Linked DNA regions of Danio rerio. The protein of the gene in region 2 interacts with the protein of the main gene of each other region in a biochemical or structural test. Links are inferred from orthologs where the notes say so. Each region holds a gene or a part of one and is shown on either strand. Other genes may lie near its edges.

Evidence for each region. The genes of interacting proteins can lie anywhere in the genome.
Region 1: the proteins of egln1a (region 2) and fkbp8 form a complex in vitro, tested with the Homo sapiens proteins (2 studies listed by BioGRID, with this or other methods). The link is inferred for Danio rerio from reciprocal best matches to the Homo sapiens genes EGLN1 and FKBP8.

The regions. Positions count from the first base shown.
Region 1 is NC_133197.1:20,746,061-20,749,718, forward strand, and holds part of fkbp8 (peptidyl-prolyl cis-trans isomerase FKBP8), read right to left. Parts: intron 2,214-3,658; coding exon 2,041-2,213; intron 1,710-2,040; coding exon 1,632-1,709; intron 1-1,631. UniProt on the Homo sapiens protein: Constitutively inactive PPiase, which becomes active when bound to calmodulin and calcium. Seems to act as a chaperone for BCL2, targets it to the mitochondria and modulates its phosphorylation state.
Region 2 is NC_133188.1:52,996,985-53,001,183, forward strand, and holds the start of egln1a (egl nine homolog 1), read left to right. Parts: upstream 1-1,377; 5' UTR 1,378-1,583; coding exon 1,584-2,189; intron 2,190-4,199. UniProt on the Homo sapiens protein: Cellular oxygen sensor that catalyzes, under normoxic conditions, the post-translational formation of 4-hydroxyproline in hypoxia-inducible factor (HIF) alpha proteins.

The sequences.
Region 1 (3,658 bases), on a different chromosome or scaffold from region 2:
CATCTGCTGACAGTCACGCACCGCTATATGACGTTTTGTGGATTGCATAGGAGGGGCGACCTGTAATGAAAAGGAAAGGGAATCCTGCCATTTTTAATGTTTATTGCCACCCTTCAGAGAAAGACTGAAAATATATGGGAAAAGAATATGGGAAAATACCTTTACAGGATGATAGTGGGATAGAACTTTAAATACGAGAAAGTCCCAGAAAAAACTGGAGGTATGGTAAGTGCGCAAATGCCACTCCCATACACATACACACACTTTATTTTGCTGTTATACTCCATACAAAGTCCAGAAACTAAGCTGTTGTTCACACAGGCCTATCTAAAGGGTTAATGGTGCCAACTGATGATCAACAGTAAAAATGCTAATTTTATGTCTTCCCAACTGGGAAAACCACCAACAATCAAAAATGCATGATTATATGGTGTCACGGTTTTGCAATAAAAAAAAGTGGTTATAATGGAAGTCAATGGGGCAAAAACAGCCACCAACAGTAAATTAGGGAGAAAAAATGGAAAATCATTTAAAAACAATGCATCAAAGTCAATGCTGTTTCACATTCCCAATGTTGTTTTACATGTGATAAAATTTTTAAAAAATCCAGTCCACGATTATTACTTTTTACTTTGAAAATACGTAATTTTGTGTGTTTTCTTCACCAAATCAGTGAGATCATTTGTGAATTTGTCAACTAAAGAGAATCTTGTAATGGTCTAAGCAATTTAGTACTTTTGTTCAGGGCTGAGGTGGATTAACAGATTTATGCAACAGAATAAAAAAAAAAAAAACTTTTTTATTAATTTTTACAGCTGTAAAATTTAGTGGATATTTTCATCCCAAACATAACAAAAGGATAGTCAATTTGCCCATAGTGTTTTATTGAGTTCACTAAAAATTCCAAGGCATTTTGTCATTATGTGACAAAATAAGATGTAAAAAAAAAATCATTCTGCTCGCTGAAACACAAAAAAGTTGTCAAATTAAGACTCAAAATTACCCCAGAGCGGATGAAAACATCCCCAACAGCACATAAGTAAAATAAGATCAAATAAAGAAATAATATTTTAGAAAGGAAATGAGACAAAATAGAAAGAAGACGAAGATAGAATTAAATAAAATAAACAATTAAAGACATAAAAATAATAACAATAACAAAAAAACAATGAAATACAACTTTGATAACAAAAGTGGTACAAAGTAAAAGACAAACACATTAAAATACTGGATAAATTAGGTAAAGATACAAATATAAAAGAAGATGACATACAAAAATAAATAATATATATAGAACTTAAACCAGAGGAAGATTAAAATATGTTAAATAAATTGAGATAAAAGACAATAAGATTAAAGATCTAAAATAAAAGATTAATTAAGATCTCAAAAATAAATAAATATAAAACTAATAACAAGAAAAACACATATAGGATAGAGAAAAATCTGTAAAACAAATCAAGTAAAATAAGATGTGAGATGAAGATATAAACGTAAATAAAAATAAGGTATACATTTAAAAAATTAAAATGAGATCAAACAAAAATATAATAATAATATAAATAAAATAAGATTAAACTATATATATTATAGATAAAAACTAAATCAAATAATTTTGTCACTTCTGTTACCTTATTACTTGGCTCCAACTTCAAAGCCATTTTCAGTGTTTTAATGGCTTCAGCAAACTCTCCCTGCAGAGCCAGGACCTACACACACACACACACACACACACACACACACACACACACACACACACACACACACACACACACACACACACACACACACACACACACACACACACACACACAAACACAAACACACAAACACACAAACACACAAACACACAAAAACACACATCAGCACCTTTTAATCTCAAGACATGCCAGTCAGTGCTAAACTTCCTCTGCTGTGGCCGGAAACCTAAATGCCACTGAATGACCGACCAACCTGCATTTTTGTGTCCAAACTCAGGAAGGCATTACTATTTAATGAGAGTGAGTGAAACCGATCCTCATCTGAACCCAAGAAACTAACCTTGCCTTTGCGGAACAGGGCTTTGACATTGTCCGGCTGGTGCGCCAGAACAGAGACGCAGGAGCGCAGTGCGGCTTCATAGTGGTCAAGCTTAAGCTGAGCAGCCGCCATATTGTTCAGACACTTCACCTTCATGTCCAAAAGTTCCTCTTCTTCTTCTTGACTGATATCCACTGGGTAAAAAAAAAGATTAGCATATGATTGCAGATGTGACCAATAAATTATCTAGCCAATAATTGACAGCAAGCTGAATTATTAGACTATAATGCACATCCAAGGTGGTCACAATAATAATTCATTCCTTTTTTCATTTTCCTTTGGCTTAGTGCCTTATTTATCAGGGGTCAACACAGCAGAATGAACCGACAACTATTCCAGTATATGTTTTACGCAGAGGATGCCCTTCCAGCTGCAACCCAGCACTGGGAAACACCCATACATTCACACACACTCCGAATGGCCAATTTTGCTTACCAAATGACTGTGCAAACACGGGGAGAACATGCAAACTCCACACAGGAATGACAACTAGCCCAGCGGGGACTCGAACCAGCAACCTTCTTGCTGTGAGGCGACAGTGCTAACCACTGAGCCACCGTGCCGCCCTCATAATGATTCCATGAATGTTAATTATTTTGCCTACTACAGTTGAAACACACCTAAAGACGATGTGGCATATTAAAACATCTGTAAGGTTTTGACCTCACAATTCTCCTGTGTTTAGGACTAGTTTCTTACATTTCTAATCTAATGGCTTCTGTTTTGTTTTAAATATAGAGACTTTAGAGATTAATAAAAATTGTTAGATAACTGAAATCGTTCAGAGTAGTGATATGGGACCGTATTGTGGTCAAAACCTGCCTGGAACTACTTTAGCTGTGAGTTTATCTGAAAATAACTGCACATCTCAGAACTTCATTAGTCAACTAGATACACATTTTCAATACCTATAATATAGTGGGTATAATTTAGTATAGTTTATAGTATAAAATAATTTGATATAAACAACATGGGCAACGTATTAAGGAGTAGGGCTGGGCATTAAAATAAACACTGAGAGAGAAAAGCAGCTTAAAATATGAGCCGCAAAATATGCCATGCTGCACTTTGAAACCCATTCATTTCAATGGCTTGCATCAGACAAGGGCGGTTTGTTGCTGCACTGTTGAAAGCCCAAGAACAGCGGAGTGCTCCATCAACTACGCATACACCATGGTCAAAGTTCAAAACAGCCTTATATGCCACAATGTACACGCTTATTTCTCTTTGCATGCTCCTCCTGCTGCTTGCAATAGTGCCACTGCGCTGTCATGGCAACACTGTAAAATGACGCCTCTCAATCACAGGCAATACAATTTTAATGTTAATAAAATGGGGTTATTTAATTGGCTTGTGTTTTTATAAATCAGTATAATATAAAGTTAAATTTAGAATCTTACAAAACTACTTTATATTACATTATAAAATAATAAATCATTATTACAAACCAGATGACGCAGTGGGTAGCACGTACGCCTCACAGCAAGAAGGTCGCTTGTTCGAGCTTCGACTGGGTCAGTTGGCATTTCTGTGTGGAGTTTGCATGTTCTCCCCGTGTTCGTGTGGGTTTCCTCTGGGT
Region 2 (4,199 bases):
AGGTCTGCAGAAGAGCATCTCTGAACACACAACACGTCCAACCTTGAGGCGGATGGGCTACAGCAGCAGAAGACCACACCAGGTGCCGCTCCTGTCAGCTAAGAACAGGAAACTGAGGCTACAATTCACACAGGCTCACCAAAACTGGACAATAGAAGATTGGAGAAACGTTGCCTGCTCTGATGAGTTCTAAAGTTATATCCTTTCAGTGGTTTGTTATGCAGTGACATGCAGTCAAATATTTCGCCAAACAGTCCTTAGGGATGCGGTAAAACGCAGTCAGATATTTTACCGGACAGATCCGCCACTTTTGGCGCGCATAAACAATCATAAAGCTCTCGTGCTGCAGGAATGAGGAGGTCTGCTGAAGGCGCGCAGCTGTCGTGCAGTGAGAGATTTGTGTCTTTAATAAACTACGGCAGTTTGTGATCACTGAACAGTAAGAATGATTAATAAATCCATATGAAACAACCCCTTAAAAGTCACGTGTCTCTTTCAGTTTCGGGCTTTGGCGCGTTTTGCACTGAGCGTCTCTCTCTCTCTCTCTCTCTCTCTCTCTCTCTCTTTCTCACTCACTCACTCACTCACTCACGCGGGCATGCACTGTGGTCTCATGAGGAAACGCTGATTTTTGATATAGTGTTTTCCTTGCTCCCGAATACAAATAATATTTCAAGTATTTGTTCGAATCAAGTATTCGTAAAAACACGCTATTCGTGCCTTTCCGAATACCGTATTCGGGTTCGGCTCCACCCTTAATACATACGTATATATACATATACATATATATATGTATATATACGTATGTATGTATATATATATAAATATACATATATATATGTATATGTATATATGTATTTGTGTGTGTGTGTGTATATATATATATATATATATATATATATATATATATATATATATATATATATATATATATATATATATATATATATATATATACTTTTGTACCTTTAGGGTAATCTATGAGATAAACTATTTAAACATTTTAGGTAATAATATATAGGCATATGTCATTTAAAGTTATCTTGTCATTTTAATCACAGCTCACAAAAGCAACTGAATCCGATTCTCTTAAACCCCCTCTGAGCATAACTAAAACCTTCAGCTTTAGCTTTAGTACTCTAAATCCTTACCAATTAGACCTCCTTACTACTAACAAAGACATTAATATTTTTAAGATCCTTCTGAGTATGACAGATGTTTCTCAAAACACACAAACTCCCTTCTTCTCCCGCCTTCAGTAGTGTGTGAAATGTGAATGAAGCGAGGCGGGGCGTATTTATCATGTCACATCTGTAACCACGCCCTCCCTCAGTGACGTCAGAGGTTTGGTTTGTACTTGCGACGTGCAGAACGCAGAGCAACACAGCCACGCGCTTGTAGAGGAGAGCGCAGCGGGATGGAGCGCGCGCGCTGCACGGTGTCGATCCCGACCCCTGTGGTTTATTTAACGGGAATATCTTACCGTGATGAACGGACGCGGTTGTTCGTTCGTATATGTTGATGCTGACGCGTTGTGCGTGAAAGTTGACCGGTGGAAGCACCGGATTTAAAGGGTCGGTGACATGGAGAAGTGCCCGACAGTTCTGGATCCCGACGGGGATAAGCAGTACTGCGAGCTGTGTGGGAAGATGGAAAACCTGCTAAAATGCGGTAGGTGCAGGATCTCATTTTACTGCAGCAAAGAGCATCAAAAGGAGCACTGGAAAAAGCACAAACTCACCTGCAGAGAGGCTGACAAACACAACACTGTGCCCCAAACCCAACAACAGCACCCCAAAACTGCCCATCCAGAGAAAAACAACCTGATCTGCAGCTCAGAAGCTGATCTGAAAGCCAAACCCCACACACAGAAGCTGGCCACCGATTATATAATCCCATGTATGAACAAGCATGGCATCTGTGTGGTGGACAACTTTCTGGGGGAAGACATGGGACTGTCCATTTTGGAGGATGTGAAGGCTCTTCATCAGACGGGTAAATTCACTGACGGTCAGCTGGTCAGTCAGAAAAGTGACTCTTCGAAGGACATACGGGGGGATAAAATCACCTGGATTGAGGGGAAGGAGCCTGGATGCGAGAAAATCTGCTTCTTGATGAGCCGCATGGATGACCTGGTCAGGAATTGCAATGGGAAACTGGGAAACTACATAATTAATGGAAGGACTAAAGTAAGTATCTGTCTGTCAACTGTGTGCATGCTGTATTTTAGGGTTATGGTGATGTCAAATGTGCATGTTTTAGAGAATTGATGAAGCTTTTCATGTACAGTATTATCACAATAGGTGAATAATAATAAGTGATGAACAGGTATGATAAAAAAAAACGGTTTATCAAATGTTCAGAGTAAACAAATGTTTCAACCTAATTAAATGTAATTGAATTTTAAAATTTTAGTTAGCATATTAAAATCGGAAAAGTCACATTCATTACAGTTACTAAGTTAATATTAGGTGCCATAGTTAATATATGAAATAATTTTTCAGCACTCTTCAGAATAACTTGCTTTGTGTTCAACAGATGAAAGAAACTCATAAAAGTTTACAACCACTTGAGTCTGAATAAATGATGAGGACAATTTCATTTTCAACTGGCAACCAAAATTGTCAGTAAGTTATTGTAAATTTATTTTGCAACCAAACCTGCAACCAAAAATTTCAGTACATTACTATAAATTTATTTTGCAACCAATCTGGCAAAAAAAAAAAAAAAAAAAAAAAATTGTCAGTAAGTTACAGTAAAGTTTTAAGTTACAATAAGTTACTATAAATGTATTTTGCAACTGGCAACCAAATTTGTCAGAAAGTTACCATAAATGTATTTTGCAACCAAACTGGCAACCAAAATTGCCAGTAAGTTATTGTAAATGTATTTTGCAACCAAAATTACCAACAAGTTACTGTAAGTGTATTTTATAACCAAACTGGCAACCAAAATTGTCAATACCTTACTGTAAATGTATTTTGCAACCAAACTGCCACCAAAATTGTCAGTAAGTTACAGAAAAGCTTTAAGTTACAATAATTTACTGTAAAGGTATTTTGCAACCAATCTGGCAACAAAAATTGTCAGCAAGTTACAGTAAAGTTTTGAGTTACAGTAAGTTACTGTAAATGTATTTTGCAACCAATCTGGTAAAAAAAAATTGTCAGCAAGTGACAGTAAAGTTTTGTTACAATCAGTTACTGTAAAGGTATTTTGCAACCAAAAATTTCAGTAAGTTAATATAAATGTATTTTGTAACCAAACTGGCAACCAAAATTGTCAGTAAGTTACAGTAAAGCTTAAAGTTACAATAATTTACTGTAAATGTATTTTGCAACCAATCTGGCAACCAAAATTGTCAGTAAGTTATTGTAAATTTATTTTGCAACCAAAATTACCAGCAAGTTACTGTAAGTGTATTTTGTAACCAAACTGGCAACCAAAATTGTCAATAAGTTACTGTAAATGTATTTTGCAACCAAACTGGCAACCAAATTTGTCAGTAAGGTACAGTAAAGCTTTAAGTTACAATAACTTACAGTAAATGTATTTTGCAACCAATCTGGCAACAGAAATTGTCAGCAAGTTACAGTAAAGTTTTGAGTTACAATCAGTTACTGTAAATGTATTTTGCAACCAAAAATTTCAGTAAGTTAATATAAATTATTTTTGCAACCAAACTGGCAACCAAAAATATCAGTAAGTTACAGTAAAGTTTTAAGTTACAATAAGTTATTGTAAATGTATTTTGCAACTGGCAACCAAAATTGTCAGTAAGTTACCATAAATCTATTTTGCAACCAATCTGGCAACCAAAATTGCCAGCAAGTTTTGCAGTACTTTTTAGTGTAGTGTTTTGGATTTAATTGTATTTTGAATGCAGTTACTCATCATTTATTCAGACTCAAGTGGTTGTAAACGTTTATGAGTTTCTTTTATCTGTTGAACACAAAACAAAATATTCTGAAGAGTGCTGAAAAAAAGCACCCTTTAACTTCCATTGTAAGAACACAAATAGTATAAACACTGGGTGAACTGACCCTTTAAGTAACATGTAGAGTTGAAGGAGATTATTTTCTAGACATAATAGTTTAATAACTCATTTCTAATAACTGATTTCTTTTATCTTTGTCATGATGACAGTAAATAATATTTGACTAGATATTGTTCAAGATACTAGTATTCAGTTTAAAGTG